Linked DNA regions of Tamandua tetradactyla. The protein of the gene in region 2 interacts with the protein of the main gene of each other region in a pairwise test. Links are inferred from orthologs where the notes say so. Each region holds a gene or a part of one and is shown on either strand. Other genes may lie near its edges. The genes, in order: DHX32, FAM161A, CDR2 and NUTM1.

Evidence for each region.
Region 1: the proteins of FAM161A (region 2) and DHX32 interact in binary tests that used the Homo sapiens proteins (3 or more experiments, as listed by UniProt). The two-hybrid records come from large-scale screens. The link is inferred for Tamandua tetradactyla from reciprocal best matches to the Homo sapiens genes FAM161A and DHX32.
Region 3: the proteins of FAM161A (region 2) and CDR2 interact in binary tests that used the Homo sapiens proteins (3 or more experiments, as listed by UniProt). The two-hybrid records come from large-scale screens. The link is inferred for Tamandua tetradactyla from reciprocal best matches to the Homo sapiens genes FAM161A and CDR2.
Region 4: the proteins of FAM161A (region 2) and NUTM1 interact in binary tests that used the Homo sapiens proteins (3 or more experiments, as listed by UniProt). The two-hybrid records come from large-scale screens. The link is inferred for Tamandua tetradactyla from reciprocal best matches to the Homo sapiens genes FAM161A and NUTM1.

Annotation. Positions count from the first base shown.
Region 1 is NC_135339.1:88,466,828-88,474,675, forward strand, and holds the start of DHX32 (putative pre-mRNA-splicing factor ATP-dependent RNA helicase DHX32), read right to left. Parts: upstream 3,010-7,848; 5' UTR 2,833-3,009; intron 378-2,832; coding exon of another isoform or gene 365-377; exon of another isoform or gene 177-364; intron 30-176; exon of another isoform or gene 1-29. Other genes in the region: FANK1 (fibronectin type 3 and ankyrin repeat domains protein 1), read left to right, coding at 365-377.
Region 2 is NC_135343.1:34,621,561-34,628,676, reverse strand, and holds the start of FAM161A (protein FAM161A), read left to right. Parts: upstream 1-4,107; 5' UTR 4,108-4,198; coding exon 4,199-4,387; intron 4,388-7,116. UniProt on the Homo sapiens protein: Involved in ciliogenesis.
Region 3 is NC_135349.1:34,859,484-34,867,071, reverse strand, and holds the start of CDR2 (cerebellar degeneration-related protein 2), read right to left. Parts: upstream 3,007-7,588; 5' UTR 2,899-3,006; coding exon 2,817-2,898; intron 1-2,816.
Region 4 is NC_135340.1:45,698,049-45,705,747, reverse strand, and holds the start of NUTM1 (NUT family member 1), read left to right. Parts: upstream 1-4,681; coding exon 4,682-4,699; intron 4,700-4,971; coding exon 4,972-5,034; intron 5,035-6,335; coding exon 6,336-6,411; intron 6,412-7,699. Other genes in the region: NOP10 (H/ACA ribonucleoprotein complex subunit 3), read right to left, coding at 3,932-4,072, 4,354-4,407. UniProt on the Homo sapiens protein: Plays a role in the regulation of proliferation. Regulates TERT expression by modulating SP1 binding to TERT promoter binding sites.

The DNA.
Region 1 (7,848 bases), on a different chromosome or scaffold from region 2:
CCTAGGCACGGCGCCGGCGGGGCCTGTGGGCCACCGCCTGCGAGGCCCCGGCACAGGCCCTGTCGGGGGCGCGAGGGCCGCCAGGGAGGACGCGATCGCCTAGACAGGCCGGAGGGGCAGTGTCTGCACCCGGCGACACAGCCGCCACCCCGGCTCGGTGCCCCGGGCGACGCGCGGGCCCTTACGCTCGCCCGCGTTTCCTCACGGCGTTTGGTCCCTCCCTCTCGCCGTCCTTCTCGCCTTTCCGCCCCCGCCCCCTGGGTTGTCAGGGCAACCAGAAAGACGCCTGCCCCGTGCGGAGGCGTTGAGGGGCGGCTACCAGCAGCCGGGGTTCGGCCTGTATAGGGCCGGGGAGCAGCACACCATGGAGCCCCAGAGTAAGGAGGCCGGGGCCGGGGTCGGGAGCGGGGCCAGAGCCAGGGCCGGGGCCTCGGCCTCCCCCAGTAGTAAGCGTGGGCGCTCCGTGCGCGACTCCGCGGGCTTTTAACTCATTTGTCCTGGCGATGCGGTTCTCCTCTGCCCCTCGCGGTTTTCTCTCGGAGAGAAAAGGGGCCTAAATCCCGCGGAGTGTGTCGGGTTAGGTGAGGGCCGTCCGTGGGTCTCCGCTTGGAGCGGGATAGACGGGAGAGCTCGGTGGTGTGGACCGGAGGACAGACACCCCCAGAGTTTGTTCCTTCCTGAAATTGCCCCCAAACGAATCAACTTATAATTACTATTTCTGTCATTGTTGCTATAATTTTACTTTGGTAGTCTGGGTCCATTTATTATAAGTAGGTATCCTGCTTCTAAAATATCAGCACTTTTGCTGAGTCTTGTATTCATTAGGATCCCCCCTTCCTCTCCCTAAATTAGTCTGCAATTGAAAGAAGAGAAACATTCTTAGAGGTTTACGAAGTAGGCCAAACAAACATCCTTTTTTTTTCCTTTTCATGTTAGAATTTTCTTTTCTTTTTCTATTTCACTTATTGTTTTTAATGCTTGGCAGAGGTGTGCAGTTGAGAGTTATCGGATCTAGCAGGAGATCTAATTTATTTACTTATTTTCTTCTTAAATTAGCTACAGTGTCTGAAAGATAACCCATGTATAAATTAACGTGGAAAACACATCAGATTGCATTTGTTTATTTTTTTTTTAGAAAATACTTAAGTTCAACATACTATCTCCTCCCTAATTTCTTAGTTACAGCGGCAGGGCGTGGCTTTGGGGGGCTTTAGCCCCTCTTCCAAGATTGTCCTTAGTCCACCAAATCACTCTCAGCAATTACATTGACAGTAGAAACTTGTATCTGTCAAAAGCAGCATCAAGATAGTGCTTCAGTACCCACTTTTATAACCAGATTGCTGCCTATCCCTTTTTAGACCAGTGGCAGTTTCCTTTTTAAAGTTTACCGTTTAAAAGAAGTGCTAAATGGATCCAAATTACTCCAATGACTAAGAGACAGGCACACACCTTGAGAAGTGAAGACTTCTCTCCAAACCTGTTTACAGGATTTCGCCATCCTCCCAGTTACTCCAACCTAAAATCTGGAGTCATCCTTGACTCCTCTTTTTGACTCACCATCACACCCACACCCTATCCCCCAGCAGGCTTGTTAATTCCACCTCCAAAATATACCCCGCATGTGCCTCCTTTTTTTCGCTCCCTACTGTAATCGCGGGTAGTCCAGATACCATCCTCTCTTGCTTAAACCAGGACCGTAGTTCTACTAATTTTTGCATCATGCCACCTGCCTCCCAACGATGCTCCACCTTGGGAGCCAGAGGGACCTTTACAGAACATGGAATCATGTGACCTCCCTGCCCAAAACCCTATAAGCTTCTTAGCATGCTTCACCTGCTTCTTCAGACTCAGCCCATGTGCGCTCCTGGATACATTTTTACTTCCAGCATGTTGGTCTTCTTTTAGTTCCTCAAATACAGGTCTTCACATAGGCTTTTCCTTCTGCCAGGAATGTTTTTTCTTTCTGCTCTGGCATGTGACTCCTTATATCCTTTTCATCTTTGCTTAAAGGTCACCTTTTTGGTGATGCCTTCCCAGATTCTCTAAGTAGTGTCCTTCTCTGATGTTATTTTCTGTCTCTGTGGTTTTCCCTTCGTAGCAGTTATCACAATATTTAACGTTTTTGTTTATTTTTTAACTCTGTCTCTTCCGTCTGACTGTAGGGTGGCAGATGAGGGCAGGGGCCCTGTCTGTCCTGTTGGCCCTTATGTCCCTTGAGCCTGACACAGAGGAATCCCTGAGAAACATTTATTGGGCAGATGGCACCACTGTTACCAGCTGGATGTCTTTTCTAGTTTTATTTCCTGAGGAGCGTAGCAGTGTGTTTAAAAAGGAAAACCACTTATTCTCCAACAGAAGGGGCTCTCTTTGGAGGATGCTTTGAATAAAGTCCATTTAAATCTAGTGTCAGATCAATTGCATATATGGTAAGCTTTTTTCTTTACTAGCCCAAATGAGCCATTTTAAGAGTCTCAATCTATTCAGTAAAATTAAGGAAAGAGACAAGTAATCTTATTTTTTGGACTAAGGGACAACCAAATCATAGGACACTATACAACCTTTCCATTACCATGCAGTACATGTTCATTAATTATCTAGGAAACTGGGAAGAATGTAAGAGTAATGTCTTAATTAAGCCTGGGAGTCTTTTAAAAAGTCTGTGTAACAATTTTTTCACAAGTAGCCTTAGCCCCTAAAGAATATTAACTCTGTGAATTAGGTCATAATTCAAATCCTATCATTAAAAAATAAGTGCTTTTATAAATCAAGTTTTAAATATTTTAACAATTTCAAAACAATGTGCATCAAATAGCTGTTTTTTAAAATCCTTACCTTAAATACTGAAGTTCACGGGCAGTCCTGACCTCAGGATGGGCAACCAATCACACAGGCAGGGCCAAATGCCTTGATGGTGGAAGCCATATCTCTCCAGAAGCCTGTATTTCCCCCAACCTTATTCTCAGATTGAGTGGATGCCAGGAAAACTTGGATTTCATTCCCTCTTGCTGGGAGAAAGAAGCACTTTTAGAACATGCCTGCTCAGAAGCATCTACCCAGCCCCACCCAAGAACTGAACTAGCCAGATGAAAGGGGGGCTGTGCATCTCATCATCGCCAAGGAAGGCCCGAATGACTCATACCTACAGAAGGTGGTGCTGCTTCATCAGCAAGTAAACAACTCATGCAGCTGGGCTGGATGCCCTGTGCTCACTGGGCTGGGTGGCAGGCCTGGGGCAAAACTAGAGACCTTTATCCTTGGGACCCTCTTGCCAAAATTATTGGGACTTTTGTGTTCCTTTCTTCTAGACCAGTTCTGTTTAGCTGTCCCCTGCCCCTTCCAGGTTGTCAGGACCCTTGCCCTGCTTTCTCTTTCAGGTCGGTGTCCCCTTCCACTTGCCTGGCTGCCTGGAATGCTCTCCTTCCCCGCCATTGACAATGCCTCCTTGTCCTTTAGGACCTCTCTCTGCCATCTGTGGCTCTTAGAAGCTTGGCCTGCCTGTTTACCCACTTGAACCTGAATTAGAGTTCATTTCTCCCTTCTCAGGACCATGTCTGCATTTTGCTAATACTTTTATTATTCTAACATATTACAATCATATATGCTTATATGTTCAACTCTCCCATTAGAAGTTTCTTTGAGACAGAGATAAGAGGTTCATCTTTCCCATGAATCCCTTTATTCATACAAGAACAAGAGAATCAAAGAATGGAACAATCAGCCACAGAATTTTATGTTCAAAATGCCCTTACCAATCATATCTCTGGAGAGAAACAAGTTAATTGGCTTACTCAGGATAGTGCAAGTACTGTAGTCCTCTAGTAAAGTAATTCATACCAAGCTTGAATAGCATTGCTAAATTAATGTATTATGCCTCCCTGGGCAATCAGTATTCTTAATTTATTTTTTATTGAAATATAATAGGCATACTATACACTTAAGTGTGTAGCTTGATGAATATTTACAAATTAAACATACCCATATTGCAACCATCCAGATGAAAATATAGAACATTACTTGTACCCCAGAAGTCTTCCTTCTGTACCTTTTCAGTTATTACCACTATCAAAGGAACCACGAGTCGGATTTCTATCTTGATGGATTAATTTCATCAAATTTTGAGCCTTATTTAAATGGCAGCTTATGTGCTTTTTGGGGTCTGTCTTCTTTTCGACATACTTGTGAGAGTCATCCAGTTACATGTAACAGTAGTTTGTTATTTTCCACAGTTACTGTATAATGTATGGATGGACCACATTTTATTTCTTCTTTTGGGTTGTTTCCTGCTTGGGGATATTAGGAGTAACGCTGCTTTGAATATTCTCGTACGTGTCTTTGGCATACGTAGGTGTACATTTCCGTGGCATGTTTACCCAGGAGTGGAATTGCTGGGTAGATATCGGTGTTGCTAAGTTGTTTCACCAGCAACCTATGAGACTTCCAGCTGTTCTGTATCCCTGCCAATATTGGTGGTTTTGTTTTGTTTTGTTTTCCCTTATTCTCTTTTTAAATTCTACTAGTCTAATGAATGTAAAGTATATCATTGCAGTTTTACTTTTTAAATTTCCTTGACTATTGATATTGTGTACTTCATGCATTGTGCCTTTCTTATGAAGCAGCTGTTCAAACCTTTGGTTGTCTGTCCTGCAAAGCCTAAAATACGTATTGTTTGTCCCTTTACAGAAAAGTTTGTCAACTCCTGCTCTACAGTGTACCACGGAAGTACTGACATTGCAAATTCATTTAGTTTTGGCCACCTTTGAGTCCAGATTTCAATGAACCAACTAAACAAAGTGTTGGAGCCACTGTCAGCTTTATCACCTCTGCTCAGTATCCCAGGAGGCGGCCATCATGGCATCGCTGGTTCTTATCTAGAGGCTTGTCTGGGGAGGAATCTGCTTTAAAGCTCCTTCAGGCTGTTGGGATAATTAACTTGTTTATATCCTTAAGTTTGAGGGCCCCAGTTTTTTGCTGGCTCTTGTGTCCTGGAGACCACTTTAGTTGGGCTTCCTCAGCATGACTACTCCCTTCAACAGAGAATCATCTCTCTAATGCCTCCAAGTAAGATGATGGAGATATATATATATCATAACTCAGTCATGGGAGTGACATCTCAGCCTGTTTGCAATATTCTGTTGCTGAGAAGAAAGTCACAGATCCCACCCACTCTCAAGGGGAGGAGATTATACAGGGTATAACACCAGGACTTGGAGATTAAGGGGCCATCTAGAATTATGCCTACCACAGATAATATTGATTGTTGTTTAAAGGCATTAAGTTTTGGGTAATTTGTTATGCAGCAATAGGTAACTAGTACAGATCTGTAGCAAGACTGATCAAGAAAAAGAGAGATCAGGCACAGACTAATAATAAAAGCAATGATGAACAGGTTATCACTACAGATCCTAAAGACATTAAAAGGATAAGAATGGGGCAGGCAACTGTGGCTCAGTGGCAGACTTCTTGCCTGCTGTGCCAGAGACCTGGGTTCATTTCCTGGAGCCTGCCCATGTCCAAAAAAAAAAGGATAAGAATGTTTCCCTCTTCTTTAAGAAATCACCTCCCAGCAGAGGAGATACCCTAACATGTATGAAAGAATCAGAGTAAGATCAATGGCAAATAAGTGCCTCAGTAATTGGGCCAAACCCCACTCTCCGTTTTAATTTTCACTATTTCACAGCACCGTCTTAGAGTTTCAGTTAGGCCAGTCTCCCTCCTGCCTTCCAGACTCACTGTGGTCATTGGTGTTTCTACCTTCCGTCATGCTTACTCACCCATTCCTGGTCCTCAGCTGCTCTTGATCCTGTGGTGTAGCCAGCCTCCAAAATGATGCCCAGTGATCCCCACCTGCCTCCTGGTGTTCACACTCTTGTGTGGTCAGTTCCCTCCCACATCGCACCAAAATTGGTCTGTGTGACCAGGAGCATGTGGCAGAAGTGATGATATGTCACTTCTGAGATTAGGTTATGAAAGATGTGGCTTCTGCCTTGGCTGGCTTCCTCTTTCTCTCTCTCTTTGTTGGCTCACCTGTATATTGCCATGTTTTGAGCATATTCAGTCATCCTGTCTGAGTTTTCTAGGACTGCCATAACAAAGTACTAAGGACTGGGTGGCTTAAACAACAGAAATTCATTGCCTCTCAGTTCTGGAGGCTAGGCGTCCAAAATCAGCAGAGGAGAATCTTTCCTTGTCTCTTTCTAGCTTCTGGTGATTTACAAGCAATCCTTGGACTCCAGTCTCTGCCTCAGTTGTCACACGGTGTTTCCTTTTGTCTGTCTGTCTATGTTCAATTTCCTTTTCTTGTAAGGACACCAGTCATATTGGACTAAGGACCCACCCTTATCCAGTTTGGCCTCATCTTAACTGATAAAATCTTCAAAGATCTTATGTCCAAATAAGGGCATATTCATAGGGTGAGGGCTTGAACATGTATTTTGAGGGATGCAATTCAACTTATAGTAGCATCCTATGGAATGGCCTACACAATGTGAAATGGAGGCCTTTGGCCAAGAGCCAGTGAGGACTGATGCCTGCCGAAACCCAGTTGGTGAGCTTGGAAGTGGATTCTCTAGCTCCAGTACAGTTTTGAGATGGTTGGCTAACAACTTGGCTGCCACCGTGTGAGAGATTTGGATTCAAAACAACCCAGCTAAGCCTCTCCCAGACTCCTAAACTGAGAAACAGAGATAATAAGCTGCTGTTTTAAACCACTCAGTTTTAGGGTAATTTGTTATCCAGCATTGGAATCAGATACCATTTTGTATCTTTTACTGTGAGACCTAACCTTCCATGTTCCAGCCCCACATAAATCCCTTTGCATTTTGTTTCCTTCTTATTCTTTCTAGGCTTTACCATTTTACTTTTTGAGTAAATAATATAGTTATAGGGTTCAAAAAAAAATATTAAAGTATATAGTGAAAAGTCTGCTTCCCATTCTTGTAATGTCTCTACCCAGTTCCTGCCCTGCACGTAACTACCATTATTAGTTCCTGGTATATTCAGAGAAAGTCTAAGCATTTCATATTCAAGAAAATTACTTGTACTGTATTTATTTTCTCTGTTCTGTGCCTTGCTTTTTTCACCTAACGTACTTTGGAGAGCTTTCTGTTTAGTGTATTACGAGCTTTTTAAACAGTTACATAGAATTCTATTGTAAGAATGTACCATAATTTGTTAACTAGTCCCCCACAGGTGGATATTCAGTTTGTTCCCAGTGTTTTGCTATTATGTTAGGCTAACTCAAAGATGGCCATGTCCTAATCGCCTAAACCTGTGAATGTGTTACATTACCTGGAAAAAAGGGTTTTCAGATGTGATTAAGTTAAGAATTTTAAGATGGGGAGTTTATCCTGGATTATAAGTAGGTCCAATGTAATCAATACAGTCCTTAAAAGGGAGGCAGGGGGTCAGAATCAGAAAAGGTGGTTTGAGGAAGGAAGCAGAGGGAGAAAAAGCAATGTGATGACTAAAGCAGAGATCAAAGTGATGCTGGGCCAGGAACAAATGCGTGGGGAACTTCTAAGAGTTGAAAAAGGCAGGGGACTGCGTTCTCTCCCAGAGCCTCTAGGCGATGGGTCCTGTGACCCGTTAAGACCCAGTTTGGACTTCTGACTTTCAAAACTGTTAAGATAATGAATTTGTGTTGTTTTGACACCCAGTTTGTCATAATTTGTCATAGCAGCAATAGGAAAATAGTACACCTCTTAGAGACAAAGTGGCCACGAATGACCGTGTTGTGTAGCTGACATTGTACCTTTGTACAATTATATCCAAAGAATAAGTGCTTTGTCAGAGTAAATGCCAGTCAGAGGCGCCTGCATTGTTCGTTTAGATAACTGTTCATTCACCCTC
Region 2 (7,116 bases):
TTTGGATAGGAGCATTGGCTGCTTCTTTATCCATAAGAACTAGTAAAATTTTTATAGTATCTCTACCGCAGTATGCAGCGTCACAGTGTTCTAGTTTGCAGCGTCATCGTGTTCCAGTTTGCTAGCTGCCAGAATGCAATATACCAGAAATGGAATGGCTTCTAAAAAGGAGAATTTAATAAGCTTCAAGTTTACAGTTCTAAGGCTGAGAAAATGTCCCAATTAAAGTGAGTCTATAGAAATGTCCAATCTAAGGCATTCAGGGAAAGATACCTTGGTTCAAGGAGGCCGATGAAGTTCAGGGTTTCTCTCTCAAGTAAGAAGGCACATGGTGAACACAGGGCTTCTCTCTCAGCTGGAAGGGCACATGGCAAGCACAGCGTCACCTGCTAGTTTTCTTTCCTGGCTTCCTGTTTCATGAAGCTCCCAGGAGGTGTTTTCCTTCTTCATTTCCAAAGCGCTGGCTGGTGGACTCTCTGCTTCATGGTGCTGCAGCAATCTCTGCTCTGTCCGAATCTCTCGCATTCTCCAAAATGTTTCCTCTTTTACAGGATTCCAGTAAACTAATCAAGACCCACCCGAATGGGTGGAGACACATCTCCCCCAATCCAGTTTAACAACCACTCTTGATTGAGTCACATCTCCAGGGAGATGATCTAATTACAGTTTCAAATATACAGTATTGAATAGGGATTAGAAGAAATGGCTGCCTTTACAAAATGGGATTAGAATTAAAACATGGCTTTTCTAGGGTACATACAGCCTTTCAAACTGGCGTACACAGGATTTATGGCATATAATTTTGGCTGTGCAGGACTGATGTTAGTAGTGCTAACAGTTACTATTTCTTGATGAGAATAGATGATATTTTCAATCCTCAAACCCAAATTCTGAGCAACTTCTTCTACTGCTTTATAGAAAGGATCCCTGCCGTTCTGGCTTTTAATCAGGTATATCTTTATCAATGAGAGTATATGACCTCCTGCAATGATGACTTTAAGTTAATTTTAAAACCACTCCAATAAGTAGGTATTATTATCCCTAAATTACAGATGACAGAACTGAGTCTCAAGGAGGTTAAATAGCATGTCCAAGAACATACAGTGAGAAAAGTTGGCAGGACACATCATATTGCATTCTATCATATGAAGGGTTATTATATGGAAGAAGAAATTAAGCTAGCTAGTAGCGATCTAAAGCAAACCAGAAACTGGAACAAATATCATCAAATGACAAGTTTTTGAAAAATCCTGAAATCACCATTTCTTTATACCCAGACTAAACCTGAAAGAATCTGGGTTGAAGCCCCTAGTCTAGATGACCAAGCCAGGACGAATGTAAGAAATATACAGGAGGAAGAAGTTTGGTACATCACAAGGAAGCAAATAGAGGTGTCCAACAATAGGACAGGGTTTTTTGAAGTCATGATCTCCCCATCCCCTGAGATATCCCAGGAAAGACAGCACAGTCCAAGAGAGAAGGTGGTGTGGAAAGGATGGACTAGGGGTCAGACTGCCTGGGTGCCAGTCACAGCTCTGCAACTTCCCACTTTGGGTAAGCTCTTTAACTCTCCGTGACACAATCTCTTCCTCTGTAAAAGAATAACCATAGCTTAGTTACTCTCATAGGATTGTTATAGGGAAGGAATGAGTTTATATAAGCAAAACAATTAGAATACTAGCTGGCAGAATTACCACTAGCAATTATCATTATCATTATTAGATGATCTTTAAGGTCATCAAGGATTCTGTGATCCTATACTGGGTTTTTAGTAAATTCTTTTTAAGATAAGGTAATAATAAAGTAAAAAAGGCAGAAAGCTTTGTACTTGGTAGTATGTGCTTACTAACAAATTTTGAGCCAGTACAACATACAAATAATTAGGAGATATTATAGTATGTTAGAAATTTTACTGAATATTAATTTATTCAATACTAGGATTTAATTTGTAAATACATTTTCATAGAGTTGTAAAATCTTATTCATTAAGATTTTAAATATTCCCCCCTCAGATTTCTTCTACTTATTCAGAGAGAACTTGCTAGTAAAGGGCAAATGTCAGATATGCTCTATTATTCATTCATTAAAATTTTCTGACCACTCTCTTTATTGTACACTGATCATGTATCCTGTACTTGTATATACTGTATTGATGATAAAGTGTGTGGTGGTTTAAAGCTATATGCGCCCCAACAAAACATGTTCTTAAATCTAATCCATTCCTGTGGGTGTAAACCCATGTAAGTAGGACCCTTTGAAGGGGTTACTTCAGTTAAGATGTGTCCCACCTCATAAGAGAATGAAATTCAGACAAAGAGAATGAAAGCCTCAAAGGCAAGAAGCTGAAATCAACAAAACCCAGAAGACAAAGGAGAGACTGGCAGACACTGCCACATGCCAGGCCATGTGGCAAAGGGCCATAGATATATGTTTTCAATTCTCTTACATATATGCCTACGAGTGAGTCATATAGTGATTCTATGTTTAACTTTTTGAGAAACTACTTTCCAGCTATTTTCTTAAGTGACTATACCATTTCACACATATCTAAAACATTTGACATACGGTGTTTTTGTTGTTACTCAATTCTATATATTTTCTAATCTCCATTATGAATTCTTTCATAACCTATGGATTATTTTTAGAAGTGTTTTTAAGTTTCTGTACAGAAAAGGTCTTTCTTATTATCATTCTTTTATTAATGTCTAACTTAATTGTATTAAGTGATCAGAGCTTGTTGATTGTATGACGTCAATCCTTTGAAACCTACTGAGTTAGTTTTATGACTTAATACCATGGGTACTTTCATAAATGTTCCGTGTATGCTTAAAGGAATGGATATTCTCGAACTGTGTTAAATATACATGTATGCTAGTTATGTATCATCTGATAGATATACATTATCTGATTGTTAATTGCACTGTTCAAATTCTCCTTATTCTTTTCACTGGATGATTAATATTTTTTTGGCTTGCCATACAAAGTACGGAAAGCGACTTGGGTGTTCCTTATGCTTAGAACTCAGCCAGCATTTGTTCCAGTGTGCCAAGCAAATGCTCAGCCAAAAATCTGAAGAAGGTGAGGGCATGGGGGGTTTTGCAGGTGCTCACACTCCCAATCAGCAAACAAGGAACGCTTGGTAAGAAGCTATCAGGCCATACTCCACGTGTGTATTAAGCAAAAAGATTCAAAGTGATGCAGCAAAGCATCTCTAGGTTGGCAGAGCACAGAGGGAGGGATTCCTATGAAGCCTGGCATCACTTAGTGCCAGGAAAATAAAAAAATAAAAAGGGCTGAGACCTTATTAATGGATTCTAGATGTTCTGCTGCACAATGGAGAAAAATTCTGTAACTTTATGGCGGTGAGGTCTGGTAATGGGCCAGCGAGGGAAGAGGATAGAGTGGGGAGGGGGATTGCGGCAGCCTCGGCTTCAGGAAGTAGGAAGGGCTGGGTAGCACGGGGCTGAGACTGCGCCTCGCTGACTTTTTTGAGGCTCGGAGTCTCTTATAACCACTTGGTTCCGGGGGAAGGTACCACATAAAGTCCTCGGACCCGGAGTGGGAGGACTTCATAGGGATGAGGTGGCGAAGGCTTGTGTCTGCCGTCCCCATGGAATTCACGCCTTCCAACTCAGCTGACAAAGCAAAAAAACGCCAGATTCACGCTACCTGGGCTGTCACTCACTGGTGGGTAGGGCAGGCTCTTCCTCACTCAGGCTTTTATCAGTCAGATCAAAGAAGAGTGGGACACGTTAGGAAGAGGGATGTAAAGCTGCCATCGCCACACAATATCTCCTCCTTTCCTCTCCGCTTCTGTCTCTACTAACGTATTATCTCAATGAATAAAACGTGTATTTTCTACATAAAACGCGTTATTTAATTAATACAATGTGAGAAATCTGCGTTTAGGCGTTGAAATGCGAAGGAGAAGAAAAAGTTCCCTTTTCCTCCAGTCTATTCCAAACCAGCAGTCGAACTCAGCTCTGACTTCCACTAATCAGGAGACACCCGACCCTCGTCTTTGGTAAAGTGAGAGGAATTTGTATGGCTTTTGGTCCCTCGAGGTGCCCGTAGCGTCCTTGGTTACCGCGCCCCTAGTAACCGCCCGCCCCAAGTAAGGAGCCGGCGGGTCGCCCGAGGCCGCTTCAGCTTCGCTGCCCGGGGCCAGCGCGGGCGCTCAGGCCTCGGCGGCGCGGTGATGGACACCTCGCACCGAGCAGCGAAGCTAGCGGCCTCTGCTCTCCAAACCCGGGTAGATTCCGCCCTGTACGAAAACGAGGACTCCTTGGAGGCCTTGGCGGCAGCGGCGGCAGCGGCAGAGGCGGCGGCCTTGAAGGAGTTGGAGGAGGAAGAGGAGGAGAAAACAGTGTTGCCGGCGCCGGCGTCGGTAACGTAGGGTCGGGACCCGGGATGCTGCCGGCCGGGCGTAAGCTGGGGGCGGGTGGGATCCCCACCCGACTGCGGAACAGGGTGGGAAACGCGGTGTCCTGCCCAGATCCTTCCCACCCTTTCTTTGTTCCCTCTCCCCCCACCCCACCCCCCGCCCCTCACGGAAGATACTCAAAACAGAGGCGTTGGAAAGTCTTTATAGTCACCAAAGAGAAGATTGTTGTAAAAATGTATTGAAGAGCATTTACCTCATTCCATTTCTATGAAGTTCAAAGTACAGAACTTTACTCCTTACGCTCAGAATGTCTTGGTATCGGATATCGCACCTCCAACCCCCCCCCCTCCTTTTTTAACTTGTAAAACTGATCTATTCCAATAGTTGATAACCCATAAAAACTCAAGTTAGTTAGCTGTGCTTTTCAGGTATGCCTTATCATCGCCTTAAGGTCCTAGTTATTAGTGGATCTAACACAATAAGTTAGAGGCAGATGTTTAAAACATCGAGTTTATATATAAAATAGAGAAATTAATTACTGAGGTTCTACGTGTTTCTTGATCACCTCTTCAGGGTGGAGTGAGAGCCTTTTCACTGATCTATTTTCATTGCCGAATGGGTGTGGACACCTGGCCACCAGGTGGAGGACAGAGTCTGCCATCTGTTCTGTTTGCTTAAAAGATGGAAACCTTGAGTTTAAACTTAGCAACCTGCCGGAATAATGCTCCCTATTCTCGGTTAAGTTTTCTTAATACCATATGTCCAAAATTTCTCAGATACAAAGCATGGAATGGGGTTAATAGAAATCACTGGATATTTTGGAATTCTAATCTCTCTACTCTGTGTTACAGCTGTTCATGAGAAAATTGTAGCAGCACCTTTTATGGTCAGTATTTCAGCAACAGACACAAACTACTCATGATTATCCAGAGTAAGGCAGATTGAGACCTAGAACATGAATCAAGAGTAAGATTCCTAGGGTCAGTTTTGTTCATGATAAAATTTGCTCTCAACACAAGTTGCGGTGGGCAACAAAAGAGGCAGACCTATGGAGGGGAAAGGTTTGAATGGAAGAAAAAGACTTGGGGTCTTGGTTTAGGATCCAGGCTCTGCCATCTGCTAGATGACATTAGCACTTAACTTCCTTAAGCCTGTTTCCTTATCTGTAGGAGAATAATAATTCTATCTTTCTATCTCACTGTCTGTTATGAGAACCAAATAAGAGAATGTGTGTCTTATTTAAATACCGGTTTATATAAATTGATAATAACAGCAACTGCCAGCGGGACTGTTGTTTGAGCAACTCACCCAAAGATTAAATTCTGTCTGGCTTCCTGTGGTAGAGGAGTCAGTCATTCCTATACTTGTAGCTGTACTTCCCACATGTCCTGTTAAACTGCAATTTGTATTTGAAATGGTTGTTACCTTAGAATAAATGAGTTTACTCAATAGGCTAGTTTTGGAAAAGCAGGATCCTGAAAACAGAAATGATGGAAGTCTTATGAATTTACCTGGCTATGAGGAGCCAGTAGCTAATCTGGATAAGCAGCCCCAATGGACCTGATGAGCCAGAGGACGCTGGGGAAAGGAGAATAGAACTAAAAAGACAGGAATAAGAGGTGGAGCACAGGAGCCAGGCTTTGTCTTCATCACGGCTTGGCTTGAGTCTCTAACTTGATTTTCAAAGATAAATTTGCCCAACTTTGTCATCTATAAAATGTAGTAAACTCAGACAAAGAATCCACCCATAAGATTGATATAAGAACTAACTGCCACAATAGGCCCTTTCAGTCAGTTGGTTTTGCCAATGTCAGACCATCCCCACGTGCCCTTGCCATGTTGGACACTACCTCATTCCCTGAGGGAGGAGGGTTGGGACAGTGTCAGTTTTTAGGCCTTATTAGGTGGGTGATGATGGCATGAATAAAGCAATATTTTATAGTTTGCATTAAAAATTCCACTGCATTTCCTAATTGGGTGACATTCTGTTTTCCAAGAAATATTGAGCATTAATTAAGAGCTATTCAATGACTGTGTGGTGGTGAGTGAAGCAGACATAGTCCACATCCTTACAGAGCTTCCAGTCTAGTGTGGAAGTTAACAGTAACAACAATAAAAATTTCAATCAAACGATTATAAGACAAGAAATTTTGGGAAAGAAATGAATAGGGTACTATGATTAAGAAAGGAATAGATGGGACCTACTTAAATGAGTTGGTAACGTTAAAGTGATGTTGATGAATAAGAAAGAGCAGCCATTTGAAGAGTGGGGGTGGGAAGAACATCCCAGGCAGAGGGAACAGCATATGGCAAGGCCCTAACATGGGAAGAGAAAGAGCTTTGTGTGATTAAGGATCTGAAAGAAAGTCAGCAGGTCTGGAAAAGAGGGGGAGAGGTACATGGGGCCCTGGTCCCACAGAGCCTTATATACTAAGGGAAGAAATTTAGATTTATTCTATGAACAGTGGGAGGTTGTTGAAGATTTTTAAGAGATATGACATATTCCTATTTATGGTTTTAAAAAATTCACTCTGATGGCTTTGTGGAGAATGATTGGAGGACTGATGAAGTGGAAGTAAGAAACCTGTTAGGAGGCTGTTGCAGTAATTCAAGTGTGTTAGGTGGTTGCTTGAACTTTGGGTCCAGGGGGATAGTGAGAAGTGGACAAATTTCTCTAGAATGGACAGGACTTATAGTTGGAGTGGATGTAAGGACCAAAGCAGAAGAAAGAT
Region 3 (7,588 bases), on a different chromosome or scaffold from region 2:
TCTGAAGTCTTTCCACCTTGTTTGCAGGGACACATTTCAAAGCATGTACCATCATTACCTGCACAGAAAGCTCCTGCTGTCCCAGAAAGGACCTTACGCATAGAGATTATTGTCAGTATTCTTACTGTGCCAACTCAGGCCTCTGACAAAAGATAGTCTTCATCAAAGTGTTTTCTAAAAGCAAAGGTTTTCTCCTCCTGCCTACACACAGCTTCACGTTTCTAACAGGAATTTTTCAGCAATTTTAATTTTGAAATGACTGCCCCAACAAACTTCGATGCAGACTCAATCTACTTAAAAAATGGCTTATATCGTTAAAAGAAAAAAAGTATTTTGTAGTTCTAAGACATTTTGAACAGGATCTTAGAAAGCTGTTTGACTCACTGCTCTCCAAACAGCCTAGTATAGCAAAACTGATAGTGAGGATATTTTAAAAATCATACAGCTGTTGACACAGGATAAATCCCCACTACACCTGCTTAATCAACTTGCTTAAAGGACAGACCTGTTTACAGACTTCATTCAGCAGAAAGTATCTATAAAGAGCTACTGTAGGCCAGGTGCCATAGTGGGAACATTCCATGATGCTGGTGGTATTTCCACCGCATGGGCCAGAATCGAACCTACTTCTCTCACAGGGTGGGCAAGAATTCTACTACTGAACTACCTGTGCACTCAACTGAGTTTGAATGTCATCTATCATAACCTGTCTTCAGCTGTGGCCCCAGTGCCCACATAACTACCTGGTACAGAGTAGATAATAAATATCTGTGAAACGAACAAATTTTAAAATGCTTTACAAGTTTAGAAGTTAGTTAACATATAATTTTAAAAAATCGGGGCAAAGATAACCTTTTATGCATCCTGCAGCTGTGTTTTATAGGTCATTTTCCCAAGTTATGATTGTTGGAATTTCCTATCTTCTATTCCTACTCCTCACACTTTACTGAGTTATGTCAAAATCCATTTTGATAATAAATGTAAGAACCCTTTGAAAAGAACAGAAGAACCCCCAAATACAAACTGGCATCAAACAGGTTCAAAACAGTGTCCTTTAAGGTTCTGTTTAAACCTGAAGATCTGACAGCTCTGGTTTGATCAAAGCAGTTAGAAAACTCTAACGGTAACCCTATCAGGCTGCATTTGCTTCTCAGTAGATTGAAAAATTACAATGGGTTATTTTTAACAACCGCAGGGGGGAAAGTGCAGTGCGATTTAGGCCCCTGATGGAAGAAAGCCATGAAACCAGTAATCCTGTGGGAGTGCTTCAGTTTGGTTCAAGAAACATTAATCGAGCTTCTATTATGTGCTGTGTGTTGTAGTAGATGCTGGGGATTCAAAAAAATGAGGGCCATCTGGTCCCTGCCCTTAATGCCCTTGCGGATTTATGCATCTTATATACTAGAAAGAAAAACATTCTGCGTTGATTATACGAACTCCTTAATATATTCAAAGGAAATGGTGCAATTGCACAATGGTTGCAATTAACCCTGGAGAAAGAATCAAACTAGGCCATCAATTCTTATGGGAAAATCAGAAAACAGGTTTGTTAAAACTTAAGACAAATGTGTCTTGTGGACATAGAGAACGTGAGCGCAAATACTGGTATGTACAGCTCCCAGCATAATGATTTTAGAAATCACCTTCCCAAAGCAGGCACACATTTTATTTCCTTCTCCTAAGTTGAGTTACTCAAGTTTACGTTCCCTGTGGTCTCCCCTACCGAGTTCATCGCTCAGCATGTACAGATATCACGATCATTTAATGTTCAACTAAATGAGATGTTTCATTTTCACTGCAAGTTTGGAGCTGAAAAAAATGGATTTATACAGATTCGCAGAAACAGAAGCCTGAAAAAAAATTCCTGAGGATTATTTAGCGCTCAGTATCATGCGCTTGCTCTGGAGATTGAATTGGAATCCTAGCACCCCAAAACAGTCGCCTCCACCTCCAAAGTGCTGTTGTGAGGATTAAATGAGCATCTGTGTTAAGGACCTGCCAGCGTCTGGCACATACTCAAGTATCCCTATTGCTAGCTCCAGTTGGCAATATGCCAAAAAAGGACCACTGGCTTCAAAGTGAAGGCCACTCGAAGGTCCTTCTCTGGAAGGACGGTCAGCAAGAACTCTACAGGCAGGCCAAGCCAGGAAGGCAGGCTTTTAACCGAAAGGTGGAAGTGCAAATTGACGGAGGAGGGTGAGGCAGAAGTGCCCTCCAGTCAGTTCATCCGGCATCTGGTGGACTGTGCATTAACAATTTAAAACAAAAGAAAATGGGTTAACACCCAATAGAAAAAAACCCGTAAACCGGGTGGATAAGGAACGGACAAGGGTTTGGGCAGTGACTGGCTGGCTCCTCGTTCTGGGAGTCTACGGACTACAGTCTTTCCTCTCCGGGAAAATGGGGATGACCAAAGTTCCTCCCGGTGGGTGGGTGCAGATAAGAGGAGGGCAGGTTCGTTAGGGGCCTGCGCCCTTCCCACCGCGCAGGGATGCTACTGGCACCCACAGGGCTCCGCTCCAGCCGCCGCGAGCCCCGTTACAGCCCAGGGGCGCCGTGTGCGCAGGAGCCGTCACGGGGCGGCCACTCACTGTGGCTTAAAGGGTGAATAACCTAAGCGTCTTAAAGCGCTGAGAGCAGCGCCCCGCACACAGTTAGCCCTCGACAACGTTCTCCAGGCGCGTTATTATTCCTGCGCCGACACCCGGGGCGGGCACGGCAGCGCCTGCAAAGGGCGGCGGCCCGGGGCGAGAGCAACTTTTTCAACACAGTTCAGCAGCCCAGAGCCTCCCCGCTGCCGTGTCCCCCGCCCTCACCTTGCTGGAGGTCCTGGTGATCGTACCATGGCTCGTCCTCCTTCAGCTCGAACTCCTCCTCCACCAGGTTTTCCGCCAGCATCTCGGCCGGGCCCTCCGGGGGCAGCGGCCCCAACCGCCGCTGTCCCGCCTCAGCCGCTGCCCCGGGCTCGCTCCCGGCCCCGCCGCCCTCAGCCAGAGCCGTCCCGGGGCGGGACCCGCCCGCCGTCCGCCGCCCAGGCTCAGCGAGAGCCGCCCGTCGCCCGGCTTCCTGGCCAGCCTCGCGCCGCCCAAAGGTTCCAACGGCCGGCGCCTCGGCCGGCGTCTCAAGCCGGCTCGCGACGCCGCCGCCGGGCCCAACGTGGCACTTTGGCAGAACCCTCCCCGACCGGGACTGTGATTCAAACCCGGGCGGCGTCTTGGCCAATCGCGAGCGAGCCGCCGGCCGAACGGCGGCGATATCGTCCAATCGCGTCTCGCCGGTTGCCCGCGCCTCGCCCGGTCTCGAGAGCGGCAGCCAATGGCGTCTTCGGGAGAAACAAAGAAGGCGGGCAGATGAACGAAGGGGTGCGGCTGAGAGACCTCGCCCCCCGCTCAGCTCCGGGGCAATTTTCTGGGTGTGCGTTCGGGGTCCTGGGTTGTCTAGGCGGCCTGCGGTGGGTGGACCGGCTACCCGCCCATCAGTCAGTCAGTGGACGCGACGGCCGGAGGGTGGCCGGGCAGGCTTCGTGGACGTGAGGGGCAAGAACTCCGGCCTCTGAGGAGTGGAGGTGGTCGTGGGGCCTCCTTAGTGCGGTCGGGAGGCGCGAGGGGTGCCGGGAGCCCGCGTTTCCCTGCCTGGCCGCCGGTTGTCTGTCGACTCCTGGGTTTGCTCTCGTCGCGGCGGGAAAACTAAGGGTCTGCCGAGAGTTTGGGGCTGAGGAAGACACCCTCTGACTGTTAGCTTCTTCTCCTTGACGTCTGTTCTTATTCCCAAACCTCTGGGAATTTTCCTCACGCCCGCCCAAGGGTGTGGGTTTCACACCCATTTAAGAATGGATTATGAGCTTTGATGTAAAAGTCAAGGTACAGCTGCTAGAAGGAGGGGAAGACAGCATTGCTAATATCTGTATGTGACAGGAGGGGACTCCACCGATACTTTCTAACGTTTATGGAACAAAGAGGTTTTACTTTATATGAAGGATTATTCTTGAAAAATTTAAGGGAACAACGATCAGAAATTAGGTGAGAGGGAAGAGAAGGAGTAGTGTTAGCAAATTAAATCCTGAATCCATAGACAATACCTTAAATTGAAAATATAATAAATAGTTTTCAACGATGTGAAGATAACTGCTAAAACTAAAATGGAAAACCGTTCATAGTTTGCCTGAGGGGAGACTTTGCTTTTTATTATAAGTTTCTCTGTGATTTTGTGTGGCACATGCACATGCACACTTGGTGCAAACATTACTGTGATAAAAAATAAAGGAAATTGTAGGGAGGGAGTTACAGATCCTCAAATTACTATTGTTCTGTATAAAGGAATAAAGATGAGTAATTTACAGGAGGGGGGAAAATCCACCCTAAATATTCGTGTAGGTTTTAAAAAATGTAGTGTCCCTTCCCCTCCCCTTTCTTGCTCAAATTGGTGAAATCTCATGCTGATGCTGTAGGGTCTTCACAGCTTGACTCCAGGGTTGCTTTATGAATAGCCTGTAAGCTACTACTCTTGCCAAGGACAAGGAAACTTTCCCAGTTACCAAAAATTTTATCCTTTCATCATTAAAGAAGACTGCTTAATATAAAGTGGAAAGCACAGTGTATTCACAAGACCTGCAGTTGTAGCCTCAGTTCTACCAGCACAAAAGCCTTTAACTTCTTTAGGTTTATAGGAGAGATATCTCTCTACCTTCCTCACAGAATCAAAGAGAGAAAGTATGAGAAAGCATTCATGCCTTTTTTAAACATACGCTGCTGTTACTGATATTTTGGGGACAACTATGAGCATCAAAATAATATTATTAATGGATTATAACCAAATGAATAAAAGGAAAAATCTATGAATCCATACTGATATAAATGAATGAGTGAATGAATGAGCAAAGGCTCCCCACCCAGTATCCACAGAGGACAATACTATGATTTCTTGATTTTCAGAAAAGAGAGTTTTATTGTGAGGTTGATTGGCCAGGAGGCAAGGCTCAAATCTGTCTCCTTGATCTGAGAGTTAAGGGACATTTTGTGGGAATGGGGGGTGAAAAGTATAGACAGAAGTGGAGAGGTTTGACTTGGCCCAGTGCAATTGGTTAATCATAGAGTTGTCCATGTGTGGTAGAGTGGATTTTAGGCTCCATTTGGCATTTGATTTGCTTTCAATGTCTCCTTGTTCTTGTAATCTTGGTTCCAAGGGAGGTGGCATTTGTTCCTGGTGTCTCAAAGTCCATATAAAGGACAAAAATCTGTTTTCTACGCATGCTTAGGTTATATGACCTGCCGTTAAGCAAACTCAAAAGAAAAGGTTACAGGAACAGAGAATATCCCCATGAACCGATTTTTGTTCACGCATGGTTTCACTCTTACTTGTAATGGTGTTAGAAGGTAATAATAATAATAATAATAATAATAGTGATAATAATAATGAAAGGGGAATGAGAAATCATAAATCACTTTCTTTTGAATCCAGGTATACTAAAAGGCAAAATGTTACTGATCTACTTTTGTTTTTCTGATCTACTTTTTATTGCTAGGTTACAAAGAAGAAAAAAGTTAGGACCCTTGTAAAATCTCTACTGTCCTAGCTGTCCATATTCAGGTGCAGATATTAGTCCAGAAAAAGAAAAACAAAAGAAAATCATTTAAACCAACTTTGTTAACTTAAAAATAAATTACTGGGCTGGCCACGGTGGCTCAGCAGGCAGAGGTCTTGTCTGCCGTGCTGGAGACCCGGGTTTGATGCCTGATGCCTGCCCATGCAAAATAAATAAATAAATACATAAAATAAAATAAATTACTATAGATAGAGCCCTTTGGAAAGAGGGATGATTGGGTTTAGGATTTGCTGATGGTGTTTTGTGGAAATTGAAGGGCCAGATTCATGCATTTGACCTTCAAGAGACTCATCCATCTTCCATAGTTGTTACCGGACAAAGGCTGTGAATTCTTCTGCCCCCACACTCAATAACCAATTCCTGAGACATTGGGTATTTCAAAGAGAGGAAGAGTTTATTACTAGGCAAGTAGTAGGAGAGCAGATGGCCTAGCGGCCCAAAATCTGTCTCCCCAAACTGCAGTAATTCAGGTAGTTAGAGGAAAGATGGGCAGGGTTTAGGATAATAAGCACAGTGGCCCCAGATGTTGTAGAGGTAATTTAAGTATTGAGCATGTGCAGGTTGATTACATGCTTAGTCACAGAATGTATGTAAGAAAATGGTGGAATGAGGTGTAGGTGACTTGTCGGTTCAAGTGTAAGCTTCTGTGCATGTCAGGTAGGCCAAGCCCACTTTGGTTAGATCCCAGTCTCTCTTAACAAGATAACTTCAGATATGGGGTGTGTTGAGTTCTGGGCTGACTCAAGACCCTTCATTAATAAACATTACCTGCTGTCTTTAATGATTACAAGACTCTAAAGTTGAAAAACTGTTAAACTGGGTACAAAAGAAGGTTAGTCATGAGGTTTTTACAATAACAAGGGCAGAAGATAAGGGCTATACAATCATTAGCAGAGATCAAAGCAGCTGAATTACAATTTAGAGATTTTAGGAATTTCCCTCTTTCTACTCCAATGTACAAGAAAGCAAAAAAGGAATTTCTATATAGTGATTCAGTAATAAAAATCATCCCTTAAATCCTGATTTCTTGGTTGCATAGTCACCGATTCGCAAGATTGAAAGTGCTGGCTGTTTTTTTTTTTTTATTTAACATACAAACACAAACATTCTTACCATATGATCATGCCATTCATGTTATATAATCAATAACTCACAATATCATCACATAGTTGTATATTCAGCATCATGATAATTTCTTAGAACATTTGCATCAAATCAGAAAAAGAAATAAAAAGAAAATAAAAAAATTCAGGCATACCCTTACCCTTCCTTTTCATTGATCACTAGCATTTCAATCTACTAAATTTATTTTAACATTTATTCCCCCTATTATTTATTTTTAATATATTTTACTCATCTGTCGATAAGGTAAATAAAAGTATCAGACACAAGGTTTTCACAATCACACAGTCACATTGCGAAAGCTATATCATTATACAATCATCTTCAAAAAGCATGGCTACTGGAACACAGCTCTACATTTTCAGGCAGTTCCCTCCAGCCTCTCCATTACACCTTAACTAAAAAGGTGAGATCTGTATAATGCATAAGGATAACCTCTTGACTCTGTTTGGGATCTCTCAAGTACTGGCTGTTTTTGTGATAGCAAACAGAAGCTCATTTTCTTGATGGCAAATAGAAACTCATTTTGACTCCAAATGGGATAAGTATATTCAAACATTCTTTAACAATTGTCTTTCAAAAAATAAGTTATCTGCAGAATTGAAGTTTTTGATAGTTTAAAATGGCAACAACACAATAAAACAGGCTTTATGCTTTTTGGTGTCAGTGGTTCTTTTTATTTAAGAATTTTTTTTTTTTCCTGGAAAGGCTGGAACACAAATTGTGTTGAAAAGATGTCCTAATTTTCAATTGCTAAAAGCCCTGGTTTGGTGGGGTCTCTGTTATTCTCTTAGGATCTGCTTGGTCATAGCTTGGAAACAATCATAGGCAACCTCTTTAGCAACAGTATTTGTTTTATTGGTA
Region 4 (7,699 bases), on a different chromosome or scaffold from region 2:
CCTTTATCTGGTGAGTGTCCCGCAGTTCTAGTTGAGCAAAGTGCGTGCAGGCCCACCCTATCAGGCGAATACAGTATGGATCAGATTGCAAAAAAAGTGTACACCTGGCCACCTGTTGTGCATCAGGTGAATACCCCACAGGTTTGGCTGGGAGGAGGTGTGTGAAGAGCCACCCGATGTTTTTGAGGCCAATAATCCACTTGGGCCTGGTGGGAGAGGTGCGCATGCATAACGGGAAAAATATCCCACTACTGGATGGAGAAGAAAGAGAAGGGTGAGCAGCAGAGGGTGCAAGGCAGATCGGAATTCTGCCGCCGAGATGTCTGCGGGGGTGGCGAGCCCGCTCTTCTCCCGGCAGTAAAGGTCCCTGGGATCTGGGAGGAAAAGGCTAGCGGATCAAGACACCTCGGACTGCAGCTCGGGGTCTTGGCAGGTCGTTGTCAGTCCATCGAGCTCACGGTCTGCTTACTGATGATGTGTCTTGCGTGTGACAGGAGATGCTTCCTCCCCTATCAGGACCCCAGCGCAGGTCAGCCCCTCGCCGTCCTTCAGGTTCTAGCAGAAGAGGAGACTGCCACGCAGGCTGCCACCGGATGAGAAGGAGGGGGCGATCCGGCGTAGGGGAGTAGGAGGTCGCAGGTGCCGATCCCCGCGCCAGCTGATGCTGGTGCGCGCGCAGCTGTTGTTTACTAGCCGGTAACTGTTTCCGAGCCGCGGCGCGCGTGGGAGGGCTCCGGCAGCAGGGGAGGGTGCCCCCTCCCCAGTCAGACGCCAAAGCAGCCGTTACGTGACCTCGCCACCCCCAGCGCCCGGCCCGGCGGTCTGCAGCCTTGCCGCCGGAGCCCCTCCTTTCCCGCCCGACTCGTTCCTCATTCGAGGTTAACAGTCCGGAAAAAAAACCTGGGGGAAGGGTCGGAGGGCGGCACCGTCCTGCGCGCGCCCGGGAGCCCCGCCCAGCCTCTGCGGCCCGCGAGGTGACGGAGGACTGCGCGCATGCGCCCACCCTGGGCCCAGGCGAGCCGGGTGGGCGGAGGGGGCGGGGAGTAGGACCGAGCGTTTGAGGGTCCTGGGGTATCGCGGAAATTGGCAGTCGGATGTAGGGGCGGAAGCCTCGCGGGGTAGGACCGGGGTTGCAGTACTTGGAAGACATTTCAAAGAGGAGACCTCAAGGGCCATCTCTCTTTAATAAGAGTGTTTCTGAAAATACCATTCATAATCTCTGTAAGAATTATAACAATCCCCCCATTCCAAATATTTACGTATGACCCTTATGGGAATTTTATGTAGAATTCTATCCTAAAGCGTAGAGGCAGCAATTTTAGACGCACTGGATACTGCATGATTTTTCTTGTTTCCGTCTTTTGAAAAATAGTAGGCCCATTTTCTAGTCAGACTGAACGTTCCATTAAAGAACACTTTAGATAAATAATTTTAGACCTGGAAAAGACATTGAGATACTTTCTCTCTACTCCCAGTGCTCTCCCTATTACATTTACTGGCGATGGAGTTATTTTTTAGTGTGTATATTTAATGCATAAAGAGGTGTTCAATAAATGTTGACTAAATTTATTTGCTGTGCCTTTGATCAAGACATTTAACATTCTGGTCCCAGAAATTGGCCCTTGGCTTTCCCCGGGTCTTTGCTCCTCACAAGTGGAACTGTTTAAACCGCATCTTTAAAAATTGGTTCAGAACTGTAAAGACCCAAGCCAGGAAAACCCCTTTTCATCAAGTGGTACACAAAGTCCAAAGTCCATTTTAAAAGACCCAGGTAACAAAATGAGGAAAAAATGTGCAGCTCCTGAAGCCTGAACCTTTATAAAGCCTGTGGTACTTGATTCAGGTTCCTAGCTTTCTTACAGATACAGCAAGAAATCCATCTCCCCAAGGGATATTTTTAACTCAGGCAGGCCTGTTTTTCACTGGAAACCCACAGACTTTCCTTTGTTAAGAAATGCTGGATTTTACATCACCAATTTTTTTTTTATCACAGTGTACTTACATTTACTTATATATCCTACGTAATGCTAATATACTATAACTCTTAAGATTCCTCTCTTGTCTTTGAGCACTCATCAAGCTCTATAAGTTTATGTCCCAGGAGATGTTAATACCGAAGGAAAAAGTTCTCATTACTGCACAACAGTTTGCCTTTTCTCCTCTACTTCAACTAGGAACATTTCCAGCCCAGGGTCTAATTTCAGTCTATGTTGCAGGTTCCATGGGGAACAATGCTATTTTTTTTTTTTTAAGAAAAAAATCAGCATTGCAGTCAACATTAAAAAATAACAGTAGAGTTCATTTACCCACTCTTAAGAAAAAGAAACTTTTAGCATCAGGCCCTTTTTCTTGTTACTCGTATAACTTTAAATATTTCACCAATCATTACTCTCTTAATAGGTTAGGATAACTCCTTAACATCCTTTCTACCCAATGTTAAGAACTTTTTGAAAGTGACTAGGCTAAAATAAAAAAAAAATTAATTGCTCAAAAGGAAACTATCTCATTTCAACATTTTTGTAAGTTTAAGTAATTAATTTAAAAATCATCTTTCTCCGTTGATTATGATCCAAGTCCAGAGACTTCCTTCTTTCTCAGCAGTCAACAACTGTCCTCAACTTTTCTGCTAGGATGGTCAGACAACATGGGCCAAGCGAAATGTTATCTATCCCTTTCCATTGTAGTCTTTATAAATGACATTTGTGCTGATTTGAGTTACTTCTGCTAATTTTGACAAAGTAGGAAAAGATTGCTGAATTAGAATATGTTCTCCAAAAAGCAATTTTTAAACCAATGGCACTGAGCAGGCACATTCAAATCCAACGTCAAAAGCCAAGTAACACAACTGAGAAATAGGGGTTGATTAACTTGACAATGAGAGGAAGAAGCAACCTAGCATTTCTTGAGTGCCTGGATACAGTATTTTTCTGCACCCTCTTAATATGAAGTAATTGGATTGAAAGTCATTTATTATTGCTCCATGATAGAAGCTCAGGTCCTAAAAGATTTCAAGTTCTTTCTTGAACCTCTCATACCTCACCTCATCTCCTAAATTAAAGTTCATGAAGAGTTCCACATAGTAGCTGCCAGAAAGAATGCAAAATTAGGTTTGTGTAAAAAGAGAATTGATTAGAGACCTAAAGTTCTGGGAATATTTCCAGAGAGAAAATATGCATGTGGGCACTACTATTCATAAAGTTTGGACAAACACTACAGATATACTGAAAAGAAAGACTCACTAAATCCTCTCAATTTTAGAGCTGGAAGAGAACGTTGAAATGATGTGAAAAATAGCACCAAATTCTTCAAGTTGCACAAATAGGGGAAAACCTTCATCTCCTGACTTCCAATCCACTGGCCTTCCTCTACAATATGGTTGCTATTCTTTTTCAATAAACTCTTCCATTTTGAGTCAAAATGTCATTGCTAGGGGGCACAAGGAATGACAACATGGGTATTTTTCAGTGAATATAGACAGTTGTGAAGGTCTTTCTCAACCTTTCTTCCCCTTTCCCGACGCACTCCGATCAACAACAGCACATCACTACTCGCTGCTACAGCAGCGACTGAGTTTTTCTTACAAGTGATCTTATTGCCATGCTCTGGGACATTTCCCCCTTCATCTCCCTCGTTTTTTTTGTTTACCAACTCTTTTCTCCCACAACACACAAAATGAGAGCTCTTTTAAATCATTCTGTCTTTAATAACCCAACAGTAGTTCACAAAATGAAAAGATTCAAACTTGTTTCCTTTATAGGAGATGCTAACATGATTGCCTCACACAAGCATGATCAAAGGCAATGCGACTAGATTCCAAAGACCAAGGGTGGTAATAAAACAGGGCTTCAAGATTCACAGACTGAAGAGCTTATTTAAAGAAAGACTCCGAGGGGTAGCAGGAGACCGAAGAGACATGAAATATGAGGGACCCTCAGAGGACAGGGCGCGGTTGCTGGGTCATGAGCACCTTGAAGCGTTTCTTGATGGTGATTCGGTGTCGCGAGTATTTGTCGTCTGGGGAGAAGCGGGCAGGATGGGCTGAGCAGGTCTGTTGTCCCATTGGGTCAAGCTTCTGCTCGAGAAGGGAAGAGAAAACACGATCTCAGCACCGGAGTGAGGGGCAAACTCAATTACTGGCGTCATAAGGTTGACTGAGGCTGGAATAGGGGGTGCGGGTGGGAACGCGATAAGGCGCAAGCAAAGGGTTAGGAGACGCGACGGTCTGTTCAAGAAGCGGCACAACCCTGCGTCTACACGCCTCGGTTCCGGCATTTCTGGATCTCCAAACCTAGCCGGTCTCGTCCGCCCGCCGCCGCCCCCTGCCCCCCATTTCTCGCAGTATCCTCTCCTCACCTTCAGCGTATAGACCCGGTCTCCCTGCTCATTGAGGTAAAAGTGGAGAAACATGACCACGCTTCAAGCAGAGACACCACTTCCGTCCGCACGCTTATCTGCGCCTCTGCCTGTCCCACCACCTCACGTGCTCACAACGTCCTTCCGGTATAGCCGGAAGTCTGTCTCAAGCCATGACGGGAATTGTAGTCCATTTTTGGCATTTTCTTCAGCTGACCAGAAGGGGGCGCTCTATCGCAGGATTTGGCCTGGGGGCCTGCAGTTGTAACCTTACATGCCTTGATGCGTGGAGTGTACCCACTGTGTGCCAGGCACTGCTAGGCGTTAGATGGGGGTGGGAGTGAACGTGGGTTGAACATTAATGAATAGAATTCTGTCTTTGTTTTACGATGCCCACCCATTTGAGGGGCGGTGGGTGTCTAACACCAGGAGAGAAAAGGACTCTGGGATTCAGTACCCCTTTACCTTAAAATAATTTTTCCCCCTCCCCGCTTTTGCATCCGGTTCCCCGCCCCTTTTCAAACTATTGGCGGTAAAGAGTGCATGATGGGTATTCAATATTCTGCACAGCGGAGAGAGCGTGAAGTTATTTTATGAAACTGGTGAAGTATGTTTTAGTGGTCGAACCAGGATTCAAACTCAGGTCTCTTTCCCGCATTTTCAGCGCTTTTTCTTATAGTGGTGAGTAACTAATGATAGCATAAAAGAAACACTTCTAGTGGCATTTTGAATTTTAAAGGAACGTAGAAATTTTCTTTATGGGGCTGTAGCTTAAACAAATGAAATTAGAACCAAGATAGCATTACAAAAATGATTATTGCAGCAATATCTATAATGCAAAAACACTGAAACATATTATTAATTTATAACCACAAAAACCTGAGAGCTTTAAAAAAAAAAAAAGAATATAGCTTGCATTTGCACAAAATGCCTCGGCAAGGGTCCATAAGAAAAAGGTAATATTGGTTTCCTCTGGGATGAAGAACTCTGTTACAGGAAGAAAACTTGTTGCTGTATATTCTGTTTTGCAGTTTGACTTTTGAACCATGCTAATGTATTTACCTATTTAGCCAGGAGTAAATAAACAAAGGGCTTCCCTGAAGTCCTCATTTTATGTCATCTTACTGATTCCCTGTTTTCTGGAAACAACCCTGAGTTGTCTCTTAGAAGCTGGGAGGCTGAATTTTTTAATCTTGAGCCAGCACGGTTGTTCAAGGTTCGCATGGAACCATTTATTTAAAACAATTCAATTAAAATTATTTTTTTTAATTAAGTATTTAACAACAAGAAAATAATTTAACAAACAAAAAGAAGAACTTTCTGGTCTAGAACTTTTAGGCTACATGGCAGTTTTTTTATGTGGTGGGGCTTTTCGGCAGAAGGGATGACTGGTAAGGCTGGCCTGATGTGGACTGCCAAGCTTATGGTAGTAGACCATTTGAGGGCTGCAGGACAACTTTGCGAGTAAGTGATAGGCATATAGCAATCAACTATCCTGGATCTTCTGAGACAATCTGAATTTCAAATATTCAGTCGCCTTGATTCAGTATGCAGACTATGTGGTCTGAACTTCGTTTAGAAAATACAGCCATCATTGAATTAAGTCAAGGGTCTACCAACAACCTGTTATTAAGAGGAAGTCAGTTACTCTTGAACTGGGTGGGGCTGAAGAGGCAAAACTAGATATATTGGTGAAGAATTGAAGTAAATAGAGGTAAAACTGTTGTGTTGGGAATTTGAGAAAGTATTTTCAAATTGCCCTAAAGAGGTACATGCCAATTGTGCTGCCAAACCCTAGTTTGTTACCAAACTCAGTTAGTGCCTATTTTTCAGAGTCCTTCGTGGAATATTCCCCTCATCCGTACCCCCTATTCCAAGCCTCCCCTCCCCCACTGCAGAATGCCTTGAGTCCTAGATTCTAGTTCTATTTTGATTCGATCTTTACCTTCCCTTTCTTGGATCCCTGGTACCTTCTAAGCCAGCTTATTCTCTGGGTCCTGGAGGCTTCCAGACAGCCACAGTTGGTGCCCAAATCTGAGAGGATAGCTTCAGATGGAGGTAAGTCAGTGGGTGTCAGATAGGGAGGGTTCCTGCCACCTACTCTCCTGCCACCTACTCAGACCCTTGGGGATTCCCATTTGACACTTTTGTCTGACAGCAAGCTCTTTGGGCTGGCCTAGAGGGAGGAGACCTGTGGACCCCACCAAAGGCATCACACCTGGGGGAGGCTGGGGAGGGAGACTGAACAATTCAGACTGGAGTTTGGGGAAGGAAGAGGGCTCCTTAGGGGTAGATTAGGACACCTCAGAGGAAGTAGGCTAGGTAGAGAAAGGCTGGCAATTAGGAACTGGATTCTCTAGGAGGGGGACCACATCAATGTGTGTTTGTGCAGCAGGGGCAGAGGTATGTGGTGGGAGGGGCCCAGAAGGGTTTCAAGGGGAAGGCCCAAGTTCTTAAGTCTTTTTCTTTAGGTGCCTGCTCTAGCATTTTGCCCTGAGAGAACTGAGATGAGGTCACTCTTCATCTTATAAAGGGAAGAGGGAGAGAAGATAGGGTTGGGGGATGATTTTAGTCAAAAAAACAGTTCAGTGTCTCATCTGTTGCCAAGCCTGCAGGGAAACATTTTCCTGAAAGCTAGGCTGGAAAGTACTCTAACTGCCAGGGCTCAGAGCTTCACAGCAACTTCCAGCCCCAGAGATGGCTTTTCTTTCTGTATAGCAGTTTTCCTTGATTCATCAGGGCCCAGGGAGGTGGTGGTTAACTCCAACTGGGAAGAAAGCTTTGATTTTATGTTTTGTGGGACTCAGGCCTTCAGACCAATTTCATTTTGTTCAGTACTTTCGGCCATACTTGTGGCCTTCTGCGCTGCTGTTGAGATGACTAATTTGCTTATATTCCATGTCTCCTTCAAGGCCAGGAAGTAGAAGCTGAGTGTTGTCAGTTTGCCAGAGGAATGCTCTTTATAAGAGCAGGGTGGGGTGGGGGGATTAGTATGAATTTAGGCAGATTATCTTCTATTATTGTTATTTAAAGTCCTAGGAGACACGTCCTAATTAATTAAGCACCTTTTGTTTATCCTTAGTCCCCTTAACTAGAATCCACACAAGCAACTCGTGAGCAAGAATTGTGTTCCAGACTTCAATTATCCTTCTCTAAGCAACCAGCTCACAGTCTTGTTCTGAGTGACTCCTAAATTTCTGGTTTTAGGATTTCAAAGCAGAAGGACTGCAAGGCAGTCTGCAGCGCCAAATTTTTAACACGTCTGGCAGCTCTGGAAACCTCCCTACATCTCCCACCCTTCACCCATTTCCTGGTACTTATCTAATCTTCTGTAGTCATTCCTGGC